Saccharomyces cerevisiae S288C: one gene and its partners. The protein of the gene in region 3 interacts with the protein of the main gene of each other region in a biochemical or structural test. Each region holds a gene or a part of one and is shown on either strand. Other genes may lie near its edges. The genes, in order: IFH1, CRF1 and FHL1.

The links.
Region 1: the proteins of FHL1 (region 3) and IFH1 form a complex in vitro, tested with the Saccharomyces cerevisiae proteins (one study listed by BioGRID).
Region 2: the proteins of FHL1 (region 3) and CRF1 form a complex in vitro, tested with the Saccharomyces cerevisiae proteins (one study listed by BioGRID).

The regions. Positions count from the first base shown.
Region 1 is NC_001144.5:579,163-590,799, forward strand, and holds IFH1 (Ifh1p), read right to left. Parts: upstream 6,329-11,637; coding exon 3,071-6,328; downstream 1-3,070. Other genes in the region: U3 snoRNA-associated protein UTP13, read right to left, coding at 156-2,609; UCC1 (Ucc1p), read left to right, coding at 7,302-8,411; YLR225C (uncharacterized protein), read right to left, coding at 8,533-9,756; BUR2 (Bur2p), read left to right, coding at 10,192-11,379; ADY4 (Ady4p), read right to left, coding at 11,400-11,637. UniProt on the Saccharomyces cerevisiae protein: Transcriptional coactivator that together with FHL1 regulates the expression of rRNA and ribosomal protein genes. Its activity is negatively regulated by environmental stress.
Region 2 is NC_001136.10:906,904-916,790, forward strand, and holds CRF1 (Crf1p), read left to right. Parts: upstream 1-5,195; coding exon 5,196-6,599; downstream 6,600-9,887. Other genes in the region: GTB1 (Gtb1p), read left to right, coding at 427-2,535; YDR222W (uncharacterized protein), read left to right, coding at 3,151-4,398; HTB1 (histone H2B), read right to left, coding at 7,414-7,809; HTA1 (histone H2A), read left to right, coding at 8,627-9,025; adenylate kinase ADK1, read left to right, coding at 9,583-9,887. UniProt on the Saccharomyces cerevisiae protein: Transcription factor, corepressor with FHL1 of ribosomal protein genes. May be involved in the blocking of the spread of silencing.
Region 3 is NC_001148.4:730,637-742,112, forward strand, and holds FHL1 (Fhl1p), read right to left. Parts: upstream 5,798-11,476; coding exon 2,987-5,797; downstream 1-2,986. Other genes in the region: SNT309 (Snt309p), read left to right, coding at 1-383; 60S ribosomal protein uL5 RPL11A, read right to left, coding at 588-1,112; PRE2 (proteasome core particle subunit beta 5), read left to right, coding at 1,713-2,576; Golgi transport complex subunit COG4, read right to left, coding at 6,348-8,933; putative protein kinase ISR1, read left to right, coding at 9,425-10,756; cleavage polyadenylation factor RNA-binding subunit YTH1, read right to left, coding at 10,802-11,428. UniProt on the Saccharomyces cerevisiae protein: Acts as a transcriptional regulator that recruits coactivator IFH1 to the promoters of ribosomal protein genes. Recruited to ribosomal gene promoters by RAP1.

The DNA of each region.
Region 1 (11,637 bases), on a different chromosome or scaffold from region 3:
AGAAGTTTTCAATGCCCGTAAAGGCACCTAATTATATATCGAATTATTTTAAGCTTTCCGCTTCATCAATGCATTTTGTCTTTATATATCTAGTTTACAAAATAATATGTTGCTATTGCCTTGCTTTTAAAGGCTCAATATCTTGGACTTACTGCCTAGAATAGCTTATCCATTTCCACTAGCGCGTAGTCTAATATGTAACTTTGTTCAACTAAGTTATCAACCCTTGTGAAATGCCTTTGCGTGTATGGAATTATTGCATCAACTATCTTTACCATTCCGGGTATCTCACTCAATTTTGCTATGTTATGATGCATCAAAATACATCTTATTGTTCTTTGCGCTATGGTATGTGTTTTTGCATTTGTATTCCAATCTCTGCATCGTTTCATTAACAAAATTAACTGTTCATCATTTAGGATAGAGATGGCTTGGTCCAATTCTTCATTGAAAATGACTTCAATTTTGCCCTCTTCGGTATCTTGTCTAGACCTTGATTCGCCCAAAGCTCTTTTCAAAACATTAAACAACCTCATTGGGTGATCTAAAGTCATTGCTAACAAAAATGCATTTGTCCAATCACCTTTGCTCATATAATTTTGAAGCGATTGTTCTTGTTCGACTTGTAATTTAGCTTTTTCTTGTTCTTCTTCTATTTCTTGTTCCGTACAATCTTTCCAAAACTGAAAAACACCATCTGCATCAGCACTTACGATCATATCACCATCATTCATAGTACTTAAAGCCCATAATCTATTATTATGACCATCCAAAGTCTTCAGACATTCACCGCTAGAACAATCCCATATTTTGATCAAGCCATCAGCACCACAACTGATCAGTTGTTTTTGCTTATTAATAAACGAACATCTTTGAACCGCATTGGTATGACCTTCCAATGTTTTCATAACGCTGAATGTATCCAATGACCATATCTTGACTGTTTTATCACCTGAAGAAGTTGCCAATAATTTATCATATTGGCAAAATGATACATCCCATAGTCCACGCTTGTGGTTGGCCAACGTGGCTTCCAATTCACCATTTTCTAGGTTCCAGATCTTACAGGTCTTGTCGTATGATGCTGTTGCAAAAATAGAATCGTTAGGAGAAACTGACAAAGCATTGATATCCTTTTCATGGGCATGACGAGTATATTCGGATACCTTGATGATTTGAACATCCATACTAGCAGTTGGCTTTGGAATTATCCATTTCTTAATTGTTAAATCATTCGATGCTGTCAATAAAAATTCAGGATATCCCTTTGAAACTATATTTGGCAATCCAACAGCAGTTACGGCAGCTGAATGACCAATATACTTGGCATAAATATCAAACTTGCAGCTGTTCTCATTGTATCTCCAAACAATAGCCGTATTATCTTTAGAGGCGGTTGCGATCCACAGGCCATCCTCAGTAGCATCCAATGAATTTAGCAAATCTTCATGACCTTCATAAATTTCGACATCCAAAGGCAGCGAAGCTTCTGGGCCTGATAAATCGGGGACGGGTATTATCCTAAGCGATGGAGAATTGGTAGCTAAAGCTAATTTATTCAGCTCTGGGCCAACATACCTCATGTCAGCAATAATACCATGATTACCAGCAATGCTCGAAGTGACCTGTATTGTGTCTTCATCATTCTTTAAGTCTTCTTCAACGTTAATTAGTTGTAATGTCTGGTCAGACAATACTAAAAACATCTGTGAATTGCTCAATATTGGAAGTACACCAATAATGAATAACTCTTCTATAGGTTTATTGGTTCTTTTAAGCACGCTACCAGATTCAGAGTCAATTAACTGAAAGATAGCATCACCGCCGGCTGTATAAATTATGCGTTTACCGTCACCATCCTTTAGGAATCCGCATGACTCTACCTGTTGATTTACTGGAAGTGTTTTCAACAATTTACATTTCTTTTTCATATTGAAATCCCAGAGATTGATGATATCGTCTCTACCACCGGAAAGTAAATTTAGGCTTGGCTCATCATTATCTGGTACCTCAATGATATCCAACCCTCTCACAGCAGATGTGTGCTCTTGTAATGTGTGCAAGCACTTCCTTTTAACAAGATCCCAAACCTTTACCATACCATTGGTGTCACCGGATGCTAATAACCATATTTTACTATTCAATTGTCCATAAAACTTCAAACTGGAAATTGTACCACCATGACCTTTGAACGAATGAGTAATGTAACCATTTTCAATATCCACAACAATTATACTACCATCTGTCCCTCCGACTGCGAGAAGCGTTGAAGTGGAATCTGCGTCGAGAATGTACGATGGAGAAGAGATTTTCATTGATCTGACAACTTTCCCGGTCTTAAGGTGAAAGATTTTTAAAAGCTGAGCTTGTGAAACATACGTGAGATATTGACCATCAGGAGTTAATTTCAGTGCAGTAATTTCTTGCTCGTCTTCATTAGAAATCTTGTGCAAAATTTTTCTGGAGCCTGGGGTTAAATCGATTATGTTGATTTCGTCAAGCACCGGAGTAGCTAGTATTTTACCATTTTCTGAAACAGTGGCAACAGCACTGCTTCCTGCATAAATAGGGTTTAACGATATACCTTTATATGAGGTTTTCAGATCCATATTGTACGTAGTATGGCTTACTACCGTTGAGAGTACTATGTTGTTGGTTCACACCTTTAATGCCATACCGCTATTATATCTGAGAGCGATGAGCTGAATTTTTCAGAAAATTTTCAGTCGCTTTACACGGATATATTAAGAAGCTCCATCTTAATCGCCAGAAGAGTGGATGAGGTTATCATCTCAACTAGAGTCGAAGAGTAAGGCAATCCATCAAATGGGGTTGCTTGAGGCTTATTTACTTTTATACGTCTGATTGGACGGATTATACCAGTAAAAAAAATATTGATTGTGTTTTTCTATAAAAATATGCATATATAAGTAAAAAAATAACATGTAATTCTTTTCAACCAACGATAAAGCAAAATTCAGAGTAGAATAAGGCAAAGTCACATACTGATGATGATATTGTAAACGAAAGGTGATTTGATTGTAGTAACCATAAAAAAATGCAAAATAGCTCATTGTAAGACGTCATTGAATTCGAATGAATGGTTAACATCATTGCCCATAATTCCTTCGATATCTGCCAATGCACTCTCACTAAATAAACCATTTTTAGTGAAACGAAGATTTTCAGCCGCTGCTTCCACCATACTTTGCCTTCTTCTCCACATGGAATTACTATTTTCATGGCTTAATGTATTGTCGAATTGCACAGGAGCGGTTAACGATGCTAGGATATCGGCGTCAGTATCTTCGATCACATGACCTTCTTGTGCATCATAACCGTTAATATCACCTACAGACAGTAAGTCATTTTCATCTTTGCCCAAAATCTCATGAATTTCATCTAAACCAACACTTTTTGTTGAATTTTTCCTTGTATTGCTGTCCACGGCAAGATCAGAATTATGAGGTATTAATGACGCATCTTCAGGTGCGTGAGAGGGAAGTTCATTCATAGGGGTATTTTCATTGGTTGTAAAATCGGTACCGGTATTTATGTCGCTATGGCTGTTATTGTTACCGATGATCTCATGGCCATTGATTCCCAATTGTAAATTCATAGTTTCTTGCTCCTTTATTGCCTTTTGTCTTTGCTTTCTTATTTTAAGAAGCTTCTTTTTTTTCTTTAACTGCCTTTTTTTTTCAGTTTTTTTCCGTTGTAGCTCTTTCATCTTATCAATCTTCTTTCTTGTTCTTTCATTACCAATATAGCCAATGGGAACTTTTCTGTTAGAATTTGCTGGTATCATGTACTCATCTTCTTCATAGGCATTAATACCCTTATTTCTAAATGCAGATAATGGAACCTTAGGAACTTCATACCAATCTGCAGCATGGCCATTTGTGCTTTTGCTATTAATTGCATCATTGTAATTGTTCTCCATATCGTCTGTGTGGGATGGTGAATCATCCTCCAATTCACTCATGTTTAGCAGCTCATTGAGTGTCAATTCGTCACCGTTATTGCCATTAGAGCTTCCCTCTCTTTTAACATCTGGGGTTTGAGCCCTTTGATGTTGCTCGCGAAGCTGTTGATGTTCTTGGATTAAGGCGTATAATGATTTAGTAGACAGACCATCAATAATACTAAAAGGTTTGTTGTCCGTCTCCCAAGTACCCAATTTTGGTGGACGTAATCCAACAACATTTGAACTTACGATTTCCTTTGCTTTTGAGCCAATGTTTTTTGACCTTGAACTTGGGGGCGGTAGGTTATCATCTTCATCTGTGGATTCGTCATCAACGTACACAACAGTCTCTAAGAGATCATGTTTGCAATCTTTGGATCCATCAGAATTTTCTTTGTCTGAGTTAGAACTTATCAAAGAGGAAGATCCATCGCTGTCGTAATGAAAGTAAAAAGAGTCTGGATCTAAATCATCGATGTCTATGAACACATTTGTCACGCTGGAATCATCGTCGTCGTCTTCGTAATCGTCGTCCAGTTCTGTGCCAATGTCTAAGCTATCTGAATCTAGTGCCCTCAATTCTTCATCCGTGTCAGCATCGTGGGACGTTTCAGATTCACTGCATTCATCATCTGAAGGCATATGGGCAACATCCAACAAAATGTTATCATATTCATCGTCAGAAGAATCATATTTCCCGGAATTCAGGACCGTACTATGAGTGGATGGTTCCAGATCATCATTGGATTTTATCAAATTCGAGCCTTTATTCTTATGTTCAATATGACTTTTGCCCGATTTATGCCTGCCTTTCTTGCTCTTATGGCCACTATTTTCATCATCTGATTGAAAAAAAACATTGAAAATATACTCATCATTGTCCACATTGGAGGTTGTTCTCGTACTAGGTTTTTGCGTCTTTTTATAGAGCTTTCGTCTTTGTTTCCTTTCTTCCTGTTCCCGTTTTTTGGCCTCTTTCTTTTTTAGTTTAGATAGTTTTTCATCATTTAGCATTAACGGTAAAGATGTACTCAAGGATAGCTTTGGCTCTGAACCATCGCCATAATAATAAAGATTTGCAAATTTAGGATCTTCATAAAACGGCATATCAAAATCAGACATTATTTCATCTTCTTCGTCATCTTCTTCATCATATCCGTTTTCTTGATTGTATTCATTTTGCAAAAATTTATTTTCAGCATCTTCTACAGGATCAGACCCTTCTTCGTGTATACTACCATCGAATGAGAGTTCGTCGTCATTTTGTAGCTCAGAAACAATGTTTTGTTCTTCTTCTTCCAATATGGGAAGATCGTCTTCCCCCGTTTCAAGATCTGTACCAATTTCTCCATGAGAATCTTCATTGTTAATCACGTCAAAGTACGCATCCTGGTCAATATCATATTCAGATTCATCTGACTCTGAAATATTGGGAAATCGTAACTCATCGTTGTTACCTAACATCACCTTAGAATCCAGTTTATCTTCTTCATTACCATTGTTCTCTTTGTTTTTTAAATCCAAGACTTCTTCACCTATATCCTCGTTATAGCCTTCATTACCATTACCAAAACTAATGCCGTCGTCCTCTTTTTTGAATTTAAACGATAGCGCCTGTTGTGTAGTAGTAGTGCCTGAACCGTTTACTTCTTTTTTGTTTGATTCTTGTTGTTTTTGTTGCTCTTCTTTCTCTTTTTCTTTTTCTTCTTTCTGCTCTTCTTCATTTTCTTTCTTAGGGGATAGTTTAACTGATTTATTTTTGTTACTGTTCTCACGAGAGGAATAGAGTGTATTGCTATTTGTATTCATGGCAGATAAAGCTTTCATGGCTCTTTTCTTTCTTTGGGCCGTCAGTTTGACAAAATCTATATTCTCGTCATCAGAACTTGTTTCGCTATCACTATCACTATCACTTCCGTCATCATCATCGTCGTCGTCGTCTTCGTCATCATCTTCTTCTTCTTCTTCACTCTCTTCTTCTTCATTTTCACTCTCTTCGCCATCTGTTACAGCTTGGTAATCGGATGACTCTGTGCCCTCGTCGTCATTGTCTATTTGCCTTTGTATAAGTTTACTTTTTTTTCCTTGGGAATTATTTGAAATGTTCTTTGCTTTTCTTTTAATTTTATGTGGGTTTGTACTTTTGTTTTTATCAGAATCAGATACGTCACTCAAGGATGACTCAGAAGAGTATATAAGGCTAAATCTTCTTGGCCTCGTTGTACTCAGTGTGGGTGGTGATTGCCTGGACTTTGTATCGGATTCGCCCTTTTTTATGAGCCTTTTAATATTTGCTGGCAGTTTACCAGAATGTGTACTATGATTGATCGTACTTTTTCGAGGACTTTTTTTGCCTGCCATTTCGTTCTGTTTCCAGTTTGCCGGTTGTTTTTTCCTTATTTGTTTATTTGCTTCCTTGTTGAATTTCCTTCAATTTCAACAAGCTTGAAAATGAATTTCGTAGAATGAATATTACTATGTTTGAAATGGTTATTGCTTATGATGCTCACCGAAGTTAAAAAAAATATTATAGGTTTGTCCTATGTTAGAATTGTGGAAAGGGAGGAATGTAATAAATAAGCAGTAATTAAATATAGCCTTTTGAAGAGTTCCTCCTTTTAATTTCTTGTAGCAAGTGTTTCGAATGTATTCAAATATTACCAATGATTATACAAATACTTACAGCAAGTCAATTAAAGAGCCGTAAAAGCTAAACGTCAAAACGTGTAAAGCACCTATTATCTAGTCTCTTTTCCCTAGTTGTACTTTAAATCAATTTAGTGATGAGATGAAAAAAAAAAAAAAAAAAAAAAGAATTCCAACGAAAAAGAAACGACGGGCAGGGCAACCTTTAGAGATTTCAATCCGTATAAAGAGATGTAGTAGGCAGTACGGGTAACATCGTCACAATTCATAATGGAACTATCTAGCTTTTGCTTGATTGCAAAGTTCTACACCCGTTGATACTTCAAACATCTTTGCAATACGTAGGTAGGGGTCGCGTACTAGCAGCCTCCTAGTTAAGTGTATCTTTCAATCGCATTACGGAACAACTAGGCATCCCGAACCCCACACGGAAAAATCGGAACAATAACTGAAAATTTCCTTTTTCTTTTTTTTGCTCTTCAAAGTCTCTGCCCCTCTATTGCGTACTCGATTGATTTTTTTATCAAAGGCCATCTCAGACAAGTAGATCTACATTGGAGTTTCTCATAATATTATCACTATCGGAAGGTAGCATAACCTTTAATAGAGTTTCCGCTGTTTGCTTGGCTCGTTTTTTTGTTTGTACTATGCCTATTGGCGCAAAGAAGACAGAGTGTGCAAACAAGAGATGAATCAGAGCGATAGCAGCTTGATGGATTTACCACTGGAGATACATTTATCATTACTAGAGTACGTGCCTAATGAACTTCGTGCTGTCAATAAATACTTCTACGTTTTGCATAACCACAGCTATAAGGAGAAGAGTTTGGCGTGGATAGCTGAGGACAACTATATATGGGCCGTTGTCAAACATTCATTATGTTTATATGTCAAGAGTTTGGACCCACTTCGACAGCATGCCAGAGAAATCATTCAAGAAACGAAGGAACCAGGTTTTAATGTGCCACTGTGCATGACTAAATACATCGCAGATTCTTGGTATATTGTATACAATGCGCTGCAATATCCTGGAAAGATAATTAATATGGGATGGGACAAATATACCAAAAGTCAAGATTCAAATGGTTCTGATTCTACCAGTAACTTTAATAGTCGGCCCAAGGAAAGAACTCTTATGCAGTCGTTGACAGCTTTACCTGTTAACTTTTGGTCCAGGAGGAAGGACGAGCCTACACCGGTAAACGTTTGGTTTTATGTAAAAAATGCGCACGTTGCCAGATACATACCGAAAATTATTACGGAAATAGGCATATGCAACTATGGGCCGAAGCAGATCGTGGCAAGTGCAGGATATATCAACGAATTGATAACATCTGAAGGAATATACTGTGTTAACCTAGGCCACCTTCCCAGGCTATACGATGAGCAAATTTTTGAAGGCACTGGAACGACACATCTTCCCCTGGAACTGAAAGCTATCGACAGGACAGATTCAGATGTTTGTATCAATGGTGATTTAGTTCTACTCGGTTATGACTTTATTCCATATCAGATATCGAAGCCGTGGTTACTCTTTAGAATCGAACCCGTAAATAGCATTGAAGCAATCTTCAACTATAGTGAATGTTCTTTTTCATACCAGTTTGCATGGAGTTTGGCCTGCTTACAATCTGAAGAGAAAATTTCATTTCCTAGAGACACGATAATTGGGCACGGTTTACCTTACAAGCCATCCAAATTGATAAGAATTTTCGTCTACAAGCATCCGGAACAAAAGCAAGATCTTGGTCAAGAAATAGCATTGCCCAACTGGAATACCCCTTATCTTCGAAGATGAAAAAAAAATTTATCAATTAGTCTATAATATATGTGTATATACGTCTATGCACCTACCTACTTATAAATGGATATAATATTCTTGCAATGATGAAAATATGTATAGTCAAATTTCATTTTTTTCAATTGATAAATGTACTTTCAATGATGGAAACTCCTTCATCGTCATCGAATTTAGACTTCTGGCAGAATTGGTAAATGAATGGCTTCATGTTTGCCAGATTTTCAGCAATAGACCTAATGAAAGCGGGCAGCTCACTCATTATATCGTACCTATTGACTAATCTTAAATTAGATTCTTCAAAACCACGCGGAAATGAAATGGATGTAGGATATTTCCAACCATTTTGCTTATCCTCTTTTGTAGATGGAAATTTAACAGCATGATCATTTACACTTGACCCGACCTCCAAAATTTTGTCCTTATCACTAACCGCCCATATAGTCACTGTAGTGCTGCCATATTCTTTTGTTGTGGTGAATTCAATACACATCATCGAACGCTTCTCACCATTGAAACAAAGAAAATTCCATTTACTAGCCGCCTTATTGGGTATTAGCCCCTGGACAGCATCCAGATACAACATAGGCGTGTCCTTCAAGTCCAGCTTCACAGGTTTATCGTTTTTCTTGTATGAGATGGTACCATTGCAAAAACCTCTAGGAACAAAAACATGTCTTATCATTTTTCTGGACGTACTAGAAGAGTCTCTTTTTGCTAACTCTTCCAAGCTGATGCTCTTGTCAAGGTAATAATTGGAACCGTCCGGGTTTATTATGAATCCTTCTTGTAAATTTACGGTAATGTCAACCTTCAAATCTTTTAGTAAACAGCTTGTACTTCCCTTCGGAATATCTATCTTAATTAATAATTGAGCAAATCCACTGGAGGAAGAATTTTCCAAAGGTACGAAGTGAAACGTAACATTGTCCGATTCAACTTTTAACGTATCAAAATCTTTGATATTATCAATTTTAAAGCTTTCCCATATATCAATGTCTTCTTCAGAGTTTTCCTCACTGCTGGCTTTAAATATTTTGAAATTTAACTGAAAACCTTTGTATATACCGCCCATAACACTGGAATATAATAGTTGAATTAATCCACATTTGCCGTTGGTGAGATCCGTAAAATACAGAGTTTGTGTCTCTATTCTTGTTTCCGTTGGATTTCTTACTGCTTTTAATAAACTATGTGACTTGAACTTTTTGTGATTTGACGTCCTGCAAAACCATTCTAGTTTCGATGTATCCTGAAATTTAGTATAATTAGCATGATCCTTCTCGGATAAAACTTCCTTAACGGGGGCAAATTTCGTCTTCTCCTTTTTGATCGCAACCGCCATTTTTTCTTTGCTCTATGATTTTTATGTTAATTAAACTGTTCGTTGCCCTAAAATTTTGAAAATTTCTCGAATATTTAGAGAGAATCCGTCACTATTTTAGTATCTATCTTGTCTATTTATATATAAAATCTCATTCCCCTGTTATGGTTTTTGCCAAGCCCTATCCCAAAAAACCAAATGATACATGATAAACCTATTTATCCTCTTTAACAGACCTATCGTTTAAAGCTTTTTTATTGCAAACCCTATTCATTATGGCTTTTTGACCTAGGTCTCATTGTGACTTCTATTTTTCACTGTTCAGTAAAAAAAGAAAAGTGATTAAAAAGTATCACTATTTCTGTTAGAAAGCAAGTAGCTATTTTGATTGGTAATTATATACACATATTGAAGGAGGCCGTAGTATTTTCGTTTAAAATATATTACAGTAAGATAATGTCTGCTACATCTTCAAGTGGTGACGTGAAAAAATTTCAAGCTGTACCAAAACCAACGAGCAATGCATCACCACCACCAGCATCGAGTGGGTTTAACGCAAGGACCCTATGGCCGGATTTGATAGAAACACCAGAAAACCAGTGGGTTTTTGAGTGCAAAGATATTATTGAAAAGATAGGCACTAATGGACCGATAGCAGTGGAAATAAAAAAAAATATGGAAAAATGCTTAATGTACTTTTACACACTTAAAAAAAAATTAAATCTTTTTGATCACACCTATACGGCATCATGCATTCTATTTTACAGGTATTGGTTCATATATGGAATACCTACAGCCATAACTGAATGTATTCATATATCACAGGGAATTCTGGTCACCGCTTGCAAAACAATGGAGAATAATAGGCCTATAGAGGCCTATATTAAGGCGACTTGTGAGTTTTTGATGCAAAATATACCGTCTTTAAAAAGTCGAACAAATATTGATAAACTTAAATGGGAATTTAGAGATAAGTTAGTGACGAATGAAAAAAAAATACTATGTTTATTTGGCTTTGACTTAAATATCAGTAATCCAAAAGAATTGATTGAAGAAGTGTTCAGTGGCTATTATAGATTCAACAGGGATCACAATCTGCCAGAAAACTTTAAAAAAGCTTTTCCAAAAATTCTTCAAGAATCAAGAAATTTTATGGTCCAAGCTGTCACCCAGCCAGTTTCTTTATTGTGCGACGGTTATACGTTCATTGTACTATCTCTCATATACTGTGGTTTAGAGTATAAAAAGCTTGTAGACAAAGATTTCAGATATCCGAAAAACTTCTTCAAGGATAGATTCCCTATCGAAGTAACGCCGGAAAATTTTGCCAATATCTTTACCGATTACAAGTTACTGGAAGAGAATTTTTTCAACTTAAAAAGTAATAAAGGTGCTAAATTACAAATTGATTCAAGCATGATTGATTCGGTGATTGACGAAAGTGGCGATGTGGAAAATGAAGTTTCAGAAATCTCTGATCCGTTTAACTACGAGTTGATTAAATCCGGTGAGGTGAAGGAAGAGTTTTTGAATCATATTGAAACAAGGGTTAAAGATTTACTAGATAAGGCTAAACAAGAAAGTATGAAGAGAAAGGCTAAAGATCCTATAAGAACCCCAGATGCCAAAAAACCTAAAATATAAAAATAGAGTACAAGTTATGTTTAATTGGAGGGATCAGTAAAGGTTTGATATATACGTGACAAAATGTCCGGCAAGTTCCCTATGTTATCCTGATAGCAATATTTCCAATACTCAATCCAATGATCATCTGTTTCTGGATCTTTAGGTGAGTCAAAGCGCAGTTTCTGCTTCAATTTTGTTTTCATCTTGTCTATTATTATTCTGGGATGTCTGAATTGGTAAGTTCGGGGATGATAATCGTCCAGAGATTCTGAACAG
Region 2 (9,887 bases), on a different chromosome or scaffold from region 3:
TTGTGCAGTTTGGCCAATTTGTTTTGATATTTTGTATGAGGATATTTAGCAAGTAGTAACAGAGACTCCTTGGTTATTTGAAAACTTTCCCTTTGTTTAAACTATAGCAAAGTATAACTTTCCTTTTCCTATTTTGTGAAAAAGTAAGTAAATATTGTTATCTCCTCCCAACTGGTTAAATACTGGGTAGGTGCACAAGCGTTTATAGTTTCTAAGAAGACAGCACCAGGAATAATGATAAACAGTTGTTTGGGTCAAAACAAAACGGGTATTGCCAATGCCTTTTAAAATACTTACCCGGCCATAAAATGAATAATAATAGTGTATGAAGACTGTGTTGGAAGATGTTATGGTAGAAGCAGAGGCTTCCGCACTGCATTTAAGAAGCATAAAGGCACTTCTGCTATTTCATTAAGAAGATTCGCTATGGTGAGCATGTTCTCATTATTTCTGCTATTAATTGAGCAATCGCCGCTTGTAGCGTCATTGCAACAAAGTCAACGGCATATAGTGGGTGTTCCCTGGGAAAAGCAGCACTTGTATGACTCGAATGAACCAGATTTGACTAAATGGCACTGTTTGAACCACGAAGATATCGTATTGGATATAAGCCAGATTAATGATGGGGTTTGTGATTGTCCTGATGGTTCAGATGAGCCCGGCAGCGCCGCCTGCGTGGAAGATATATTCAAAAGCGTTGCAGAGGGAGGTGGTAAAGTGAATAAGTATTTTTATTGTGATAACAAGGGGTTTATTCCAAGATATATACGAAAATCGGAAGTCGCAGATGGTATTTGTGACTGCTGTGACTGTTCTGACGAGCTACTTTCTGGATATGAGCTCTTTGATGCTGGATCTAATTGTTCTCAGTTAAAAAACGAATTTGACATTATGGCCTCTAAAGAGTTATCAAGTTACCGGGAAGGTAAAGAGGCCCTAGAAGAACTGGAAAGAAAATACGGTACAAAGGAAGAGGCTATCACCCGTGGTAATTGCTTAGAAGAAGATAAGGAAAAAGCTTCTGCCGAGATAAAAGTACTCTCCAACAGGCTCTCAGAAAATCGAGCCAAATTAGAGCAGTTGAGAGGCGAGTACTTTAACCAATTAAGCCATGATCCCATTTTGTATCAATTTGAACAATTAAACAGTACTCGTTTGGGATCGGACATCCTTACATCGTTCACTATGGTTTCAAGAGTAAGTAAAGGTTACCAGGACATATTCAAGATTTTAAGTGATTTATCAGAGGCCTATACTCCCTCGCTAAATGATAAAGTTGTCAATGATAATATTAAAAAATTCAGAAAAGTTAGAAGACGGGCTGAAAAGGCTAAAATTAATGCAGATAGCAAAATTGATGATGAGCAGGCAGATAATCTTTACTTGTACTTTACAGAAGAAGTACCTCAAATTTTTTTGAAAAGAGAATCTGAGAACACGTTGAGGTACGTCATAGGAAAATCCAATTTTGTTCAAGCGCTAGTGGAGGGTAAAATTAACTATACCAACGATATCTTGGAGTATATCAGAGAATTCCGTTTGATTATGGATGATATTTCTCAGAATTACAATGTTAACTTTCAAGATGCAGGGGTCAAAAGTGCTGTCGATTCGTATAAAAACTACCTAGGTGAATACGGCGAACTGGCTGAATTAGAACCAGCTCACCCGTCAGAGAGCCTTTTGAGATCGTTGAGCGAAGTAACATCATTTGTGAACGAGAATGCACCAAAGGTATTGCCACCAGACGCTGTTGAGTCAGAACAAGATACGAACAGCGATCATATCGGTACTTCTGGAGATTTGCGCAATAAACTCAAAGAGATTCTATCTAAGCTGAATATTTTTTCATCTAGAAAAGATTTGGTCTCATTAGAGAAGAGATTCCGCTCTTGTGAAAGTCAAGTCAGTCTCCTGGAGAATGAATTAAAGCAAAAAATGGACTATAAGAAATTATTAGATGAAACTGAAGATGAAGGAACTAATTCTACTGCAGGAAATCTGACTGAGCTTTTAGAACTAATGGGATCACAATCCTATTGTCTTGACGACATACTGGACAACTATGTGTACACTATATGCTTTCAACGTCCAATGACCGAAGGTGTCATATATCAAGCTGAGGATAAGGTTGACGGTAAAAAAGTTTTGATCGGTCGTTTTAAGACATCAGGTTTTAATGTTGACTTAAACATGGAAAAATACGCAGAACATTTAAAGGCCACATATGATGAGAAGAGTGATTTGATTTCAAACTTAGCAGCTATACAGGACGATGACGGTAACATGCAACATTACGTATTCGGGAACTTAAACGAACTGAATAATGGTCTGGTACTAGAATACGAAAATGGAGACCAGTGCTGGAATGGTCCGCGCAGATCGGCTACTGTATTTGTTCGGTGCAGCGACAAATTCAAGATTCGGAGTGTACATGAAGCGACTAAGTGCAACTACATCTTCGATGTCGTTGGTCCTCTAGGCTGCAACAAGACTTTCGAATACGAGCCCCCTAAGTTCAATTTAAGTGAATGACTGGAAAATGAGTAGTTAGGCTTTTTTAGTAAGTAAACAACTAGGAAGGCCGATGCTGTGCCGTGATACTCTTTTCCGCAACAAAAGCAATATTTCCCTCGGCCAAAACGCGAAAAGACGATAAATAAGTATATCGTTCCAAATACTGATAGTTCTGTACGACCTGTTGGAATAACGCGAAAAGAAGGGTACGGCGTAATCACCCCACACGGCTTGTATTTTTTTCGGAGAACTAAGTCATAGACGTAATGCTAATTTTTCCGTCTAGCCGATGTTTATGCGGCTTTTATTTTTTTTTTTTTTTTTTTCTCATCTTTGTTCTTCCGGTTTCCAAGATGTCTCACAGATTATTACAGTGAATTCCAAAATCATGTTTACTACTGGAATTTGTATGCATATGTTTTGGCAATCTTAAGCCTACGGATTTTAAATGTGATGGATATAACGAACAGTGTTTACTGGAGACTCACTTCTCTGGGCTTGAGTTTACGATGTATAGTCATATAAAAATGAAGAAATTTCTTGAGTGACAATTGCCGCCGTACTTCGTATTGTCTTTTCTTGACAGTGAGGGCGTATAAGATACATCGTACATACATAGAGACTCATTTAGTGATGCTTGAATCGAGCAGTGATAAGATAAAGTTTGCGCCTATTAAAGAGGTAGATTACAAAAAACCGGTAAGTAAGAGTAAGAACTATACTCTTATTAATGACATCCAACCATTGGAGTGGTATTGTCACAATGATAGTGAAACGGGCTACCAACACACCATAAGTAACAAGACAGATGGTGGTAGAGGTTTATTCAGAGTGATGAAAAAATCGATGGAGACCAGAGTCGAGACCCAAACGTTATATTTCACAGATTTGCATACAGGCTTGTGTGGATTTGTTCAATTACTGTATTCTACGGTTATGGGTGGTATCTATAAAGGCTTCCAATTGAATTTCAAGGTTTTTGGCTCAGAAAGTAATAATACTGACTACGACGTTTGGGAAAGTTTTAAATTGGATGACATAGCTGAATTTCAACCATTAAAGTTTGTCTCTAGAAATGTTATTTTTGAATTTTTGAGCAACAAAAATGAAAAATTAGGTTCCATTGGCCAGTTATCTATCAAATGTGATTTACCAACATGTAACAATACAATTCAAAATTTGAAAATCGATTTGTTGGTGGATTTGTTTCAAGGTTTTAAGATGAACCCCAACGGTTGCAATTATTATTTTGACAAACAAATCTCGATGAGTGACGAATTCGTTTCCTCAGACAAAATGATCAGACATGTTTTTGTGCCCAGAGGTAAATGTAATGGTAATATTTCCTACGATAAAAAACTCAATAGTGGGGACTTTCAAAATAAAAATATTTCATTAACTGATGTTCCTGTCGTTTATCTGGACGCTGTTCAAGGTCTTTTGCCGAATAAAGCAGCCAGTAAATGGAATTTCCTATGTTTTCAGAGCGAAAACTACTCTGTTTTAGCAATTGAATTCACTACTCCTCGAGATCATGATAACGTCACCGTAACAGTTTGGTCAATTACTGAAAAAAACAAACTGATATCTATTGGTTCTTCTGTGCAGAGCCCAAAACGTCATGTTAGGTTCCGTGCTACGAGTACAGATAAGGAAAGCGGCTGGGTATATCCAACCTCTATCAAGTTCCCCGGTGGATTTTCAGAACACGACTTGAGGCTGGTTAATCGATACGACGTTCTCGGTGAGTTACCAAGCATGGTCAGGTCGTTAGCTCAGAAAATTGTGAGCATCAAACCTTTCATTTATCAATACTGTCAACCTTCTAAATATAAGCACGAGAAAGGTATTTCTATCGTTGAGAGCACCTTCATTAGTTGAACAAAAGCGTGAACACTTCCACATGAAATTCGTTTTTTGTCCTTTTTTTTCTCTTCTTTTTCTCTCCTGTTTCTTCTACCAACTTTACCTAATAATTAATGTGTAATCGAATTTTTTTACATAATCACTACCTAATAACTAATTTATCATCACTTTTTTTTTTCATTTTGAGGCCACACTTTCCCCCATGGACTATTGCATCATTGCGCCATGCTTCTTACTTGCGTAAGCCATAGAACGGAAATATCATGTTCCCCTTGCCGCATGCATATTGAAAACATCACGGGAACGAGAAGAATGGCATTTTCGAAATAAAAAGAAATCATATTTCAAATGTTGGGGAGAGAAAGCAAAGGGGAATCAATAATCATTAAGGGAAGTCGATGAAAGTTTCCTTTTCCGAACTCTACCTCGCCTTATATAAAACCTTGGTCTAAACGGATAAACCGAGATGTAGTTGAGTTTGTGAATCCAGTTCTTGTCCTTCTTCCTCTTTCAAAAAGTGAAGCAATCAGTTGAGAGTGTAGCTATAGAGGTGTGTACTCTAGAAATCAGACTTTCATAGCAAGCAGACTTTTTTTTTGTTGAATCTTACTAGCGGATTTTTTAGAGTTTTCTTCTTCGGACTAATCTGTCAATGGTTCCAGTAAGATTAATGAGTCAAAAGCCCTCTATAATTGTATCGAGAAATTTCTTAAAAGAAGGAATATAATTATTGCGGTCACTAGAAAGTTATAAGAAGGTTACCATTTAACTGAACAGCAGCGGTATAGTACGGAATAAAAAAGTCTTTTAAAATGTTGCTTAGTGCGCCTGTTAACAGTACCGTGCGGCGCAAGCCACACAGTCCAAATAAAAAAAAGCCAAAAGAGACAGGTACAGCTGCTTCCTTTTCGTCGTCCTCTTCAACTGTCGTCCTTTCATCCAATAATGATGGCAGCTTTGATGCTCTTTGGGACCCCTCTATAAGTAAGGCCTCGGATTTTGAGAGTAGCTATATTAGTGCTAAACGATTAAAACCAGAAAGTAGTAATAGACAGAAAAAAAAAAATTCTTATAAATATTCTAGGGAGGAAAACACCAACGAGGTAGAGGAAAAGACGTCTCTTGGCAGCAGCTCTAAGACAGAAGCAGATAATATATTTAATGACCAGCTCACGTCAGCTGGCAATACTACATATGTCAGTAATAAGCGCGATGTAAACTTCGGGGCGAATTCGGCTGTAGTACTGCTCGGTTTGCCAACAAGTAAAAGTGAATCTCACCGACAATACCACAGTCCTTCGGCTTCAACAACTAATGAAGATGAAGAGGACATTGGTGTTGATATTTTAGTAGACAACCACATCGATAGTTGCGAAACAGTATCGATAAATAATAATAGAGGTATTACACACCAATATCCAGAAACGGAATCAGATGTCGACTTTGATGAGGCCGTGATATTGACACCAATGGATGGTACGGATAAGGGAGTGAAAAATCCAAGACCACTCGAAAAAAAATATAGTAGCAGTTGTTTTGAGGACCGTACGCCCCTTAACTTGGATGATGGTCATTTCAGTGAATGCAATCATTTTTCTACATTAGATGTGTCTAGCTTTTTTCATCTCAACGAGCATGTGCATAAAATCGACGAAGTAGAGCTCGATGGACCTGATCGCACCTTTAGTCTAGACAACGTCGCTATTAATACAAGGAAAAAGGATATTGATTGCCTCTATAATAGTTCAAGAGAAGACTTATCCAACCTCACATGTTCTTCGGAAGGCCCAAGGAATGATAGTTATGATAGTGATTACAACATTGATGAGGTCACTTATAGAGATGATGAATCAACAGATGAAGACGAGAGCTTACCAACCCCAGATCGAAAAAGGAAGAAAATTGGCCATAAAGCTTGCGAAATATTGGATTCTAAAAGAATTGGAATAAAAGTACCAAAGTTATACGTTTGGTCTTTAAGTGATAAACCGTTTAGTGTTATCGATGGGTTGTGCACAAAATCGCTGTACCCATTGAGTGATGACATAAATACTCCTGAAAGTTTGAGCTCATGCTCAAGCTCAGTAAGTTCACGGGAAAATCAAAAAGGAGATGCAACATTTGATAATGATGCTATGATAGCCGACCTTCTAAACATAGGCGGACTCGAAGTAGAGAAGGCATCCAATGGCCATATTGAGCTCATAGGCGAGTGATTATTTGATATTCCAGAAGAATCATTATCGTCTTTTAAAGGAAAATATGATCGTTTGCGAAAAAATAGAAGCACTTTACTACTTGAATTGTCATAGAATAGTAGGAAAACCTACTTAGTCAGCGAAGATCAACTTGGAATATCGTATGATGAGATGGAGAAAAATTTAGGGGCCGAAATGGATGGATCCACTTGAGAGAGGATCAAGGAATACTGAAGTGCAGCTGACGATCCAGTCAGCGACATCTGTCTTTTTTTAATTACTATTGCTGTGTACTTATAGAGTCGGTGGCATTTATTTTATTTTTAGTATTTTTTTATACGTGCGTATTCTATTGTTCATTTTTTTACCAATTTTTTTTTTATTTTTATATTTTGTTTCTTGCGTGGAGTTTTTACAGGAAGTTAATCACAACAGAGGGTTCAATCTCCAAGGCATAAAATAAACAAAAATTGTAATAGTTAGCAACTGCAATACGAATTAAAATTTGAGGAAAAATCTAGTATTGTTCACACGAGCCAATGCTCTGAAGTTTCGAAAGCTAATAAATATCATGTGGAAACTTTTCTGAGTCATTAATAAGCAACACTATTTATTCTTCTTATAATTAGTCTTACAAGTAAACTGCCTTGCCGCATAAGCGCATTCCCTCTATGAGACCATTTGTAATTTCGAGAACACAATTTTACAACCGAGTAAATATCTTATAATCATTAAAATTATTAAACTATTATACAATTTTTTTTACTTTACTTTAATTTTTATATACCCATATAAATAATAATATTAATTATAACCAAAGGAAGTGATTTCATTATGCTTGAGTAGAGGAAGAGTACTTGGTAACAGCTCTAGTACCTTCAGAGACAGCATGCTTAGCCAATTCACCTGGTAAGATCAATCTAACAGCGGTTTGAATTTCTCTAGCAGAGATAGTAGACTTCTTGTTATACGCAGCCAATTTAGAAGCTTCAGTAGCGATTCTTTCAAAGATATCGTTAACGAAAGAGTTCAAGATAGACATGGACTTTTGGGAAATACCAGTGTCAGGGTGAGTTTGCTTCAAAACTTTGTAAATGTAAGAAGAGTATGTTTCCTTTCTAGCCTTGCTTCTCTTCTTACCATCAGTGGAAGTGGAAGTCTTTTTAGCGGCTGGTTTCTTTTCAGCTGGGGCTTTGGAGGCTGGTTTCTTTTCGGCTTTAGCAGACATTGTATGTGTGTATGGTTTATTTGTGGTTTGACTTGTCTATATAGGATAAATTTAATATAACAATAATCGAAAATGCGGAAAGAGAAACGTCTTTAATAAATCTGACCATCTGAGATGATCAAATCATGTTGTTTATATACATCAAGAAAACAGAGATGCCCCTTTCTTACCAATCGTTACAAGATAACCAACCAAGGTAGTATTTGCCACTACTAAGGCCAATTCTCTTGATTTTAAATCCATCGTTCTCATTTTTTCGCGGAAGAAAGGGTGCAACGCGCGAAAAAGTGAGAACAGCCTTCCCTTTCGGGCGACATTGAGCGTCTAACCATAGTTAACGACCCAACCGCGTTTTCTTCAAATTTGAACTCGCCGAGCTCACAAATAATTCATTAGCGCTGTTCCAAAATTTTCGCCTCACTGTGCGAAGCTATTGGAATGGAGTGTATTTGGTGGCTCAAAAAAAGAGCACAATAGTTAACTCGTCGTTGTTGAAGAAACGCCCGTAGAGATATGTGGTTTCTCATGCTGTTATTTGTTATTGCCCACTTTGTTGATTTCAAAATCTTTTCTCACCCCCTTCCCCGTTCACGAAGCCAGCCAGTGGATCGTAAATACTAGCAATAAGTCTTGACCTAAAAAATATATAAATAAGACTCCTAATCAGCTTGTAGATTTTCTGGTCTTGTTGAACCATCATCTATTTACTTCCAATCTGTACTTCTCTTCTTGATACTACATCATCATACGGATTTGGTTATTTCTCAGTGAATAAACAACTTCAAAACAAACAAATTTCATACATATAAAATATAAAATGTCCGGTGGTAAAGGTGGTAAAGCTGGTTCAGCTGCTAAAGCTTCTCAATCTAGATCTGCTAAGGCTGGTTTGACATTCCCAGTCGGTAGAGTGCACAGATTGCTAAGAAGAGGTAACTACGCCCAAAGAATTGGTTCTGGTGCTCCAGTCTACTTGACTGCTGTCTTGGAATATTTGGCCGCTGAAATTTTAGAATTAGCTGGTAATGCTGCTAGGGATAACAAGAAGACCAGAATTATTCCAAGACATTTGCAATTGGCTATCAGAAATGATGACGAATTGAACAAGCTATTGGGTAACGTTACCATTGCCCAAGGTGGTGTTTTGCCAAACATCCATCAAAACTTGTTGCCAAAGAAGTCTGCCAAGGCTACCAAGGCTTCTCAAGAATTATAAGATCGGTTCTGGTATTTTAAAGAAGGCGGAAGGAACTAAACTGCTTCTCCATTGTAACTATATTAAGTGTCTATTAGACCTTTCTGTTTTTCCTTTTTATTTTTCTATATATAATTTATTGGGTATATAATTAACGGTAACATATGTCATGCATGATATAAATTTTTTGTTGTGTCTTCCTGTTTTCTCTGTTGCTCTGTTTAGGTTCATTGGGCACTGTTGCTTACTTGAACATGATTGAGTAGCAAACACATTCTGTGCTTTGTTCACTTTGATAGTGTGACGAAATTTTCACAACCAAAGGAAAAAAGCTCACGATTGCGCGATCCTGTCACGGAGAACTGTCCGCAGCAGCCCGCGGCTTCTGTCCTTATTCGCCCATTTTTTTTTGATTTTCGACTTTTTCACTCTGGCTAGTTTTATTACGCATATTTGTATATATATATACGCATAAATTTCTGAAATGGATTACCTGGTTTATCAGAAACGAGAGCTTTAATAAAGAAACATTAACGTTTCTCTGGTAAAGTCACCACACAGCATCAAATATAACAGTAATGTCTAGCTCAGAATCCATTAGAATGGTCCTAATTGGCCCACCTGGTGCCGGTAAAGGTACTCAAGCTCCAAATTTGCAAGAGCGTTTCCATGCCGCTCACTTGGCCACTGGTGACATGTTGAGATCTCAAATCGCAAAGGGCACTCAATTAGGTTTGGAAGCAAAGAAAATTATGGACCAAGGTGGTTTAGTCTCTGATGACATTATGGTTAACATGATCAAGGATGAATTGACCAACAATCCAGCTTGTAAGAATGGGTTCATCTTGGACGGTTTCCCAAGAACCATTCCTCAGGCTGAAAA
Region 3 (11,476 bases):
GGGCCGATAATAGTGTTTCTACGCTTACAAATGCATTGTACACCGAATACTTGAAACAACGTAATAACAAAAAAAGGCGAACACCGGATTTTAATGACGACGATGATACTTTATTTTTGGAAGAGTATAGAAGGAAATACCCGAGGATTGATACTTCCAGATACATACCGAACGAGTCTTCCGAAGTTAGCTTGTTAGGAATTGTAGATTCTTATTTAAAACATCAGGAAATAGTTTTGGATACACTTCTACCGCAAACGGTATCGAATCAATGGAGAATTAATAATGATTATATTCGTCAAACGTGTACTATAGTGGAAGAAATGAACATCCAGCAGAGGAAACAAATTAACGATTTGGAAATATACAGAAAGAGGTTATAATGTCGCAATGGACCTTTATTATTATAAATGTGGCGGCAAATCGTGGAAGGATATTGGATCGCTCGCCATAGAAGTCCTTAGCGCGCATGTACAATAACATAGAGTTTCATCTTGGTTTAAAATTCATAATTTTATTAATTGGTTACAAAAAAAACATAGATATGAGTATATAAATGTATTATATTTCTTCACAAACTAATTAAATTATTTGTCCAAAACATCAGCATCGTACTTTTGCTTGAACCAAGAGACGGTGTCTTCCTTAGTTGTCTTGTGGGAGTTACCAACGGTACCCTTACATCTCTTTCTTCTAGTGACTCTAGCACCTGGTCTGTTCATGACGACATAGAAATCCATACCGAAAATACCGATGGATGGGTCATACTTGATACCCAAGTCAATGTGTTCGTCAATACCGAAACCGAAGTTACCGGTAGCAGAGAAGTTTCTGTCTCTCAATTGGTATTCCTTGACCTTCAAACCTCTTTCCAAAATTTCTTCAGCCTTTGGACCTCTGACGGTAACGTGAACAGCAATTTTTTCGTTTCTTCTGATACCGAAAGTTCTGACAGTGTATCTGGCCTTGGATTGAACTGGAGTTTGACCAGATAATTGCTCTAAAACCTTGGAGGCTCTGGTCAATCTGTCACCAGATTCACCAACAGAAATGTTTAAGACCAACTTTTCGATCTTCAAATCACGCATAGGGTTTTGAGCTTTGGCAGACATCTTTGGCTATGTTTGTATGTTCTTGGTTCACCTTCCCTTCCACTGAAAAAAAAATAATATTAGTTGAAATACAATAAAATATGAACTAAGAAAGAAGCCTGCGGTTACTATCAAGATGTATCAAACAATGAAACTTTCGCATAGCTGAGTGGTAAGTGGGCTACCTTTGCTAGTGAAACAATAATTCCCTGCAAAGTGAAAAAGTTCGATTGGAAACTGGTCACGTGGATGTGAGTCTATTACCCGTAGAGTCTGCGCGCTGTTTGCGTCGCTCTCTGTATTTCTATGGATTTCACCGTTCTTTTTTCATTTATACAAAAAAGACAGAACTTAATGAAATAATCGCATCGTCAGTACACCCATACCTTTAGGATGGTTGGATGTTGCGCTGTCGCAGGAAAGAGCCTCTCCGGGTATTATGTGATATGAGGGAAAACAGCAAAAGGGTGGCAAAACGAAGAATAGCACTCCTTCAATAATGCAAGGTGAATTGTAAAGAAAGGCTTCAATATATCAATTTTCAAAAGAGAATAACAAATTTACTATTAAATTGAATAGATAGAAAGAAACCAGAAAGAAAAGAAGGAAAAAAAAACAAACATGCAAGCTATTGCCGATAGTTTCAGTGTACCAAACAGATTGGTTAAGGAACTTCAATATGACAACGAACAAAACTTAGAGAGCGATTTCGTAACGGGCGCCTCCCAGTTTCAACGTTTGGCACCATCGCTTACGGTTCCACCAATTGCGTCTCCACAGCAGTTTTTAAGAGCACACACAGATGATTCACGAAACCCAGACTGTAAAATCAAGATCGCACATGGTACTACAACCTTAGCATTTAGATTTCAAGGCGGTATTATTGTGGCAGTAGATTCTCGTGCCACTGCCGGCAATTGGGTTGCTTCTCAAACTGTGAAGAAAGTTATTGAGATCAACCCATTTTTATTGGGTACAATGGCTGGTGGTGCGGCAGATTGTCAATTTTGGGAAACTTGGCTAGGTTCTCAGTGTAGGCTGCACGAGCTGAGGGAAAAGGAACGTATATCTGTCGCAGCCGCATCCAAGATTTTAAGCAATTTAGTATACCAATATAAAGGGGCCGGTTTATCAATGGGTACTATGATCTGTGGTTACACTAGGAAGGAGGGCCCAACCATTTATTACGTCGACTCAGACGGTACAAGATTAAAAGGTGACATATTCTGCGTTGGTTCAGGTCAAACATTTGCATATGGTGTTCTAGACTCTAACTATAAATGGGATTTATCCGTTGAAGATGCTTTATATCTAGGTAAGAGATCTATTTTAGCTGCTGCCCATAGAGATGCTTACTCTGGTGGTTCTGTAAATTTATATCATGTTACCGAGGATGGTTGGATATATCACGGTAATCATGACGTAGGTGAACTATTTTGGAAGGTCAAGGAAGAGGAAGGATCTTTCAACAACGTTATTGGCTAAATAGAAGCATCAAACATATGTATATGCACATCTATATTAATGATACATTATTCTCTTCAAGGATCCAATATGGCTTCCCATAGAATTATGAAGGAAGTCCAGTTCTCATGTTTCCAATCATCACATCTATATATTTTTATATAATTATATCTTTAAGTATTGTTCGGTAATATGAGGACAGACGCCATCAATGCAAACAAAAAGTGAAACCCGAAATCAAACGAAGTGAATAAGTAGTTGTAGAGGCGACCCGATGGAAAATTTTGTAAAAATCGAAGACTGAATCTCAACAACGCAAAACAGAATAGGACGCATAGATTCATACCTATTACTATGGCTTGATCCGATCTATCTTTATGAAAAGATTTATGCTTCTACTTCGAATATGCTAATACTATTATCGAAATTTTTTAAAGTTTTTCCTCAAGGGATACATTTACTTCAGTGATACCCTCGTTGATATCCTCGCTGACCTTCCGCCTTTTAGAATCATGACCTTCTTCGTCGGTTTTTGAAATCTCGCGATTATCATTGCTACTATTCTCGTCTTTAGATGGAATATCATCTTTAGATTCGTTGTTTTTAATACTTTCACTATCGATCTTTTCGTTTTTGTTGTTCTTTTCATCTACTTCGCTTCCACTATCACTTTCGCTTTCGCTTTCACTACTAGTGCTGCTATTATCGCCGCTTCCACTAGCACTACCGTCATCGCTACCACTATCGCTCTCGCTTCCGCTCTCACTACTGGAACTGCTACTACTACTAGTGCCGCTTTCACTTTCTAAGTCGTTGTCCTGTGCAGGCTTAGGTTTGGGTTGTGCATCAACATTTTGAGAAGCAGCCGCCGGAACTGACGTAGCTGCCACAGAGGATGTAGCCCTAGCATTTTGTCTCGGTTGAAAAAATCGAGACAAGGACGAAGGATCAAACGATCCCGGTTGTTTATCATGCAAGTAATTATTGGGATGGGATGATGCCGACGCAGATAACTGAGATGGAGGCCTATCTGGTACATGCGGCGTCTGGACTATTGGTTGGCGTATCGGTTTGGAATGCTGTGCCTTAGCTGCTAAAGCCGCCGCCGCTGTAGTTTCAGGGTTCACTAATTGCTTTACCTCACCTTTTGTGACTTTTGCAGTTGCCGCGTTTACAGCAGCTGCTAAAATTAGATTCAAATGCTGAGGATTCTTGTCCATCAAGGCTGTAAGTGGATTACCAGTAATCCCCTTGTTTTTTGCCGCTTGTGTAACCTGATTTATTGTCATAGCTAGAGCCTGCGTCAAAATTGCAGCGATGACCTGCTTCGATAAACCCTTTCTATCTCGTGTTAAAATGACAAGCTGTTCCTGCAGATATTTCATTGTCCTTTGATTATCACTTGCTGTATTTTTCCTGTTCGAGGCGGCTCTGTTTGCTGCAAGAGTTTGTGAGATGTTTTGTTTTCTCGCATTAACGTTAGATCTCTGCGAAACAATATCTTTTTTGCCCCTCTGCGGCACTTGCTGAAGTTTGTGCTGTTGCTGTTCAAGTTTTAATTGTGCAGCTTGTGCCTTTGCCACAGCTATCTCACTTTGTTTCTTTTTCTGTCGTTCCCTCTCTGCAATATATTCTTCATCAAGACCCCATAACCATCCTTTGCCTTCTTTAGAAACCTTCCTGAAAGATTTATTTAGCGATAAGTTGTGTCTTACCGAGCTTTGCCACCCATCAGGACAGTATTTATAATAGGGGAAGAGTTCTCTTATTCCTGCATAAATTTCAGATAAAGACATTCCCTTGGCAGTCGAGTACTTTCGTATGCAAGTAGTTAGCATAGCAGAGTAAGATACAGTAGGTTTCGTTCTATATTCTACTGGAATCTCCTCCAAAGTATATACTTTCTTTGGTATTTTCGGTGGCTTCTTTTCTTTCTTAACAGCTGGTTTGGTCTGCGCTTTCTTGGGCTTTGCTCCAGTTGTAATCTTTTTCTTAGATTTGGGCTCGTTTTTTTTGAGATTTCTTGTATTTATTTCAGATTCTGCTATGTCAGCGTTTTCTGGGCTTTTGCTATCGTCGTTACGTTCTTGTTCTGGTAAAATAAATTGAAATGGAATTTGTCCAATTTGAATTTTTGTCTTATTACGAAGTGGCACAGTATTTCCTTTTTCAACGAAAATGTCATCCACAAAAGCACCATTCTTCCCTATTATGGACAATTCGAACCTTCCTGTCCCAAAATTGTAAAAAATCTGGGCGTGTCTCCTCGATATTGATTTTGAAGGACCAAGATTAACGTCAACTTTGTGGGAGAAGTCATTCTCAGACCTCCTTCCGATTATTGCATGTAATGTTTGTACATAAAATGTGAAACTTTGAAAGTCCAGCCTTGCATAGGCGAAGATAGTCGGTTGTTCATTCGGTAGCGGTAAACTTGCATCGATTGGCTCAGATAGTTTTCGTTGGGTAGTTTCAGCATCTGTACTATTATTTTCCGTTACAGTGTTTTGTGGCGGTTGTCCCACTAATTCATGCTGCTGAAACATTATTGGCGTTATTGAATTGTTTCTCATATGCAGCATGTTGTTTTTTTCATCTACTAATGTTGGTAGGGTCTCGGTATCTTTGTTTACTGATAATTTATGCACATCTGTGTATATAGCATCAGCAGTGGGTTCATCCTTTTGTATACTTGTATCTTCTGAGTTCCTTATGCCTTCAGTTTTCACTGCTGCTGTGTTATCTTGAGTTTTCTCCCTTTCGTCCTCATCAGGGTTTACTGGCTCTATATTGATATCTTCTTTTGATGAAACCTCCCTGCTGTGATCATGAGTTAAATCGATGTTATTTACAGGATCCATGGTGTGGGATAACAACTCATTTGAGTTGAACAGAGCTTCATCATTTTTTGCATCAAATTCCAGTAGCTTCGAAAAATCAGCGTTATCAAGGTTATCAGGTAATTCAAGTTTCAAATTTCCATTATCGTCTGTAACAGGATTCTCTACCTCGTTTTCAATATCAGTAGTCGTGTTTTGAGGATGTTTTTCCTCTGTTACTATATCAGAACTTTTTGGTAGTTTTGTTTCAATCGGTACCTCGCTTGTCGGTGAATTTGTTATGCTTTCTTTGGTTTCTTGGTCTTTCAATGCGGAAGAATCTATAGTAAACTGTGTTTCAGTGGTAGGCGATGAAGTCCCGACATGATTGCTGCTTTCTATTATTGCCATTTCCCCATCCATCTTATTCTTATATTTGTATAGATATGAGTGGGTTTTTGTTTTGAGCGGCTAGACGTTAAATCAGGTAAAAACCAGTACCAGGTATATTATGGTAATAAAAAAAGGAGAAAATAAAATGCTTTCAAATACAAAATTAATATTCGTGATGACCTTCTACAAGAGAAAAAAATGTGCCAATAGAAAAGTCCTATTTATCCAGCCCAGAAGATAATAGCAAATATTAATAGACTTTAAACTAACTCAAAGGATGACAAAGTTGGCCTTAGAGAAAGAGCTACTCCTTTCTTAGCTTGGTGACGGAATATATTTCAAAGGTTCCTTTGTTTATTTTTTATTAACGCTTTTAATTTTTCTTGTCTTAGTCTTCGTAATTTCCAGTTAATCGCAACGTTCAGAATGATAGTATGGCGCTATCATGTTGTGCTCTTTCATAAGAAAAATAAGAAATGTATTAACAGTCAAGAGTATGCAGAAAAGGTACAACAGCCAAGATTATGTTTGCGTTTATATGAAACTACTTAGTATTCAGCTCGTAAAGCTTATGTTATATTTACTGTGTTCTATCAATCTTCATATTTCTAGCTTTAATTCTTTCCTGAGAGTTTATCACCCAATCGAAAGTACCATTGAAGTCATCCTTGATATCACCTGTAGTCAAATCAAAATTGTCATCATCTAAACCGAGAAGCAACACGATTTGTGTCAATTTCAAGAACTTCTCTCTGAGATTATAGTTCAAGCCACACATATTGCCGATGAAAAGGCTCAGTTCTCTATCTAATTTCGTAACACCAAGTTCATTGAATTCTAGAGTCCATATTCTTTGCTCCAATGTTGTTACGATGTAGTCGACTATGACAGATAGCAACTCTGCATATGCTTCGTTGTGAAGAATATTTTTGTAAGGGATAATCAATTGGTTCCATTTGCTATTGAAACTGTTAATTTGCGACAAATCTTCGAAATCTTCTATGCTTGTGATGTAATTCTTTTGGTTCGAACCTGCAGAATAATCGCGAGACACATTTTTTTGATTGGACGTTGAGGAATTTGATGAGGCTGAATTAACAAAAACAGTTCCCAATAAGTTCCGAACCCTATTTTGTAGGATATTTTGGAACAAGTATTTGACAGCCCATTTGCTTAGCTTATCTGTTTGTTCCAGGACTAATTTTTCTGAGTTTATAATTAAATTCTGTAACTGCGCTGCATCATTGTCAAAAGGGAAATTGTCTCTCAAAATCCTTTGCGAATCGTCTTCTAATATTTCTATGGATAACAGCCTGTGAACGTATACTTTACTCAAGTACAACGTGTTCAGATATATCAAATAATGGTGCAACGCAAGAATGGAATCCTCGTCCTCTGCAACTACGGCTTGTAAATTTGATTGAATATTTGTCAAAGCGCTAGCTGCTGCCCCTCTAAAAGTGAACCTGCTTAGCGGAGAAAACTTATTTGCAGGTGGAGAAACCGATCTTGATGTTGCAGATTGCTCCTCACCTTTTGGAATGTATCTTTTCAAAGATACATTGGAGGCTAGTTTCGATTGTAGTAACTTAAATTTGTTTTGCATAAATTTTACCAGAAATCGGTTCTGAAAAAATTTTACCAACTCGTTCAAAAAACTTGCTAAGAGCTTAAACTGGCCAGTATTAACCACTGATATCAGATTTTTCCGAACTAATAAAATTAAGTCATCTAAAACAGATGTTACAGGGTATGAAATGTTATCGTGGTCATTGAGGGGAACAGCAGTTATAAGATCGTTCAGTGACGGTAATTCTTCTAGTGAAATACTATTTCTAAATGATCTCTGCAGATGGTTCAACACAAACACCTGAAACTCATCAAAGACCTTATCTTGCTTTAACTTTAAGGCAAATTTACCATCTGCTATTGGTGGAGGTGGTTGCAATACATGCGGATGCAAATCGCTAAATTCATTCCATTTAACTGAATAAAATCTAGAATACATGGACCAATTTTGAAGTATTTGAGAAAATTCCATTATCAATAATGCCAAGTCATGAATGGATATAATTGAGCTCTTTTCCGTTTCTCCGTCTGTTTCGATATCCGACTGATTACTGTCTATATTCACATCTTCATTCTTTTGTGAATGTTCCCATTCATTTATATCATGTATAGTCCTTTCTATTTTCCTCGTCTCCATAAAAATATCTAGAATCAAACTAGCTTGAAGATCAGCTTCTTTTTCTACTTTTTCCATGACATGCACCATGTGCTTTTTTCCATAACACGTGGCGATGACTTTTGAATGATCATTTATAATGGTCGATACAATTTTAAAAAGATGTAACAGTACTTGTGAAAAAAATCCTTGAAACTTGGTGCTGTTTTCCATAGAATTCGACATAATTTTCCTGCTTTCGTCCGCAATAATATCACAGACATATTTGGAATACAGGTCTAAACCAAGTACGTCCTGCCCAATCATAGGGAACATTTTGAACATTAAGGTTAGCTCTTTAATATCCTGTGTTCTTGTTGCTTCCATGAATTGCTCCTGAAATAAACTTGTCAGTTCCTTACACCAATTCTTTATTAGTATAGCTGGTTCTTCGGGAATTTCACTCGAGGGCACAACTTTCTTGGCAAACTCGGATACAATAAGTTTTTTATCCGGAAGGCTTCTAATTTCATTGATTGCTGTCGCAGCAACTAAGTAATCCTTTGTTTCTAAAGCAGAATGCGCCAGTGAAATATTATTCTTTAGCGTCCTGACGTCTTTTACAAATTGTAACGTTTTGTTGACCAAAGCGCGTTCCTGATCTACAGTTTCAATATCGTCATGTATAGCTTTTGCTCTTGCGTTCGAAGAAGAAATGGTGGCCACAGTCTCATGAAACTGAGTCAAAGTAGTCGTAAGGTTAGTTCTTTGCAATTCTAATTTCCGGGACTCTTTGTTGAGCGATGATTGCGACTGTTGCACAAATGCATTTAATTGTTTAGATTGTTTTGCGTAATCATTGGCTATCACTTCAGACAGCTTGTCTATTTGAGATAGTGTCGATAATTTGTCTAATAACAAGGTGTACCTTGCTAGATTTTTAGACAATTGGCCCTCGATGATCGAGCTCTCCCATGATGCATTCGATTTTTGCCCTTCCATCAAAACTTCACCCTTTTAGAGCCTGACAATACAGTATCGTTAGTTTGCGCTACTTCGCTGTCCCAACGAATTTGGTTTGTTTTCTATGTTCTATCTCTATCCCACACTTTTTTCACAATTCCTTTACAGGCGAAAATTCAAAAAAGTGACGTAAATGGAGTTCTAAAAGCTAAAGCAACAAGTTAATAAGGTTAGAAGATCGTAAATGTGTTTCAAAAGTTGCTTACCTCCTTCACTATATCTCAGCTGCTTGTATAGCCTATGACGAAAATTTATGTTCCCTAGCAAGGATATAATGTGTCAATCAACATGATCGCAAACCAGCTAGATTGTGATGTATGGGTCTATCTTATTGTTTATTTTGACTAGCATTGAATAAACAAAAAGCGCTGCTAATAGATTCTTGCCTTTATATAACGGGGATCTAACCTCATCAACAGCAAAAATCGTCTTAAAACACATCTCAAAGACTAGTTCTCAAACGTCACGCTATGAACAGTACACCTCCTACGTCACCCGTCACCAGGGTTTCTGATGGTTCCTTTCCATCCATAAGTAACAATAGTAAGGGTTTTGCTTATCGCCAACCGCAAAAACATAAAAGTAACTTCGCATATTCACATCTGGTATCTCCTGTAGAGGAGCCGACAGCTAAATTCAGTGAGGCATTCCAGACAGATTATTCTAGTAAGGCGCCCGTTGCTACCTCGGAGGCGCACCTAAAGAACGATTTAGACGTATTGTTCACTACCCCCCGGTTTTACTCTCCGGAGAATTTGGCTTTAATGTTCCGTCTTTCTAATACAGTTTCTTCCCTAGAATTTCTGGATGAGTTTTTGATGGGCATATTACTTGCTCCAGAGATGGATTTTTTGTCAAATCCAAGTTATTCTCTTCCGTCTAACAAATTAGTGGGACAGGGAAGTTATTCATATGTGTACCCTATATCATCAAGTGCTTCATCAAGATGTAACAACGATTCAGGGGTTGTTTTAAAGTTTGCCAAATCACAGCATAAAAGCAAGGTGATTTTACAGGAAGCTTTGACGCTAGCATATCTCCAGTACATGAGTCCTTCAACCAATGAAAGTCATATTATTCCATTCTATGGGTTGACATACATAACTAAATCCCATTTTAGAAGACTGAGGTCCAACGAATGTGTTCCTGGCCTTATTCTTCCGAAATGCGAAATGAGTTTATATCACTTCAATACAGCAGTGTCACATAAGCTTTCGTTGATAACAAAAAGAAAAATATGGTGGAGACTTATGAAGCAAATGATAGACGCATTAAAATCTTTGAAAACAAATGGTATAATTCATGGTGATATAAAAACAGCAAATATTTTAATAACAGAAATGCATGTTCTTAATGGAGGCCATTGTAAGGATTTTGACTTCTACCTTGCTGACTTTACGTCGGCATTTCACATTAATCAAACACCAACAGATCTGAATACCACGGTAGAATACTGTGCACCAGAACTAATTGATAGCTCCTCCGATCATGTTCCTACATTTGAATCGGATTTGTATGCCGTGGGGCTTTGTCTTTTATCATTTATATCGCAGCATGAGCCTTACAACGAACTTCAGGCGTTAGTGTCGCATGGATCCTCTCCAGGTATTGGCAGTTCATCTATACAGCAGTCCCAATGGCTGATAAATGCTCTTTTGAAAAAAGATCCTATAAATCTAAACATGTTAAGAAACGATTTATTCCAGGATTGGAAGTCAGAACTAGCATTATTGTCCAGAATTCTGGTTGATAGACTTCCTCTAGAAAATCTCATAACTATACTCGATAGTAACTATATATGATAATATACATGTCTATGAAATCGAAAACCCCCAGCCATGCATAGATCAAACTTCACCGTTTATAATTGCGTTTAAACGCCTTTCCTTTTCTTCATCCATTTTCCTGGTATTTATCTCATCGTCTCTCTTAATTCTTAATTTACTACCTTCATCTGGGATTATGAACTGTGGATGTTCCATATCACATTCATCCTTCCCTAAAGGACAAAATCCGGTCATGTATCTTTGACAGAAAACCTTCTTAATATGCCGTCTAGGACAAGAACTCCCCAGAGGACAGAATCCCATTTCGTAATTTTCACATTTTGGTATCTTGCTAGCGGGATCTATGTGTAGATATTGACAATCTGGACTTTGTGTACAGTACCCGTTTTTGCTGAAGAAGACACATTCAGGCATTTTTCGAAGATTGTATTCATGTAAGTATTCACATTGGTCATTCTTTTTGCACAACCCTCGAAGCCAATGTCTACAAACAATTTTATTCTGAAATATTGGTAACACATGCTTTTTTGGACATAACGGTCCCCTCGGACATGATTTAGGGCCTTCTCTAGAATTGTAAAATTCACAAATAGGTCTGTCAGGATCGAGTGAAAACGAATACTCTTGCCTGAGGAAAGGTTCAAATTTAAAAGGATATTTTGCTGTATCGGGGTGAATTAGGCTCATTACATAAACTTATTGATTTTATTCGTCCTAGAATACTTGTTTAAGATA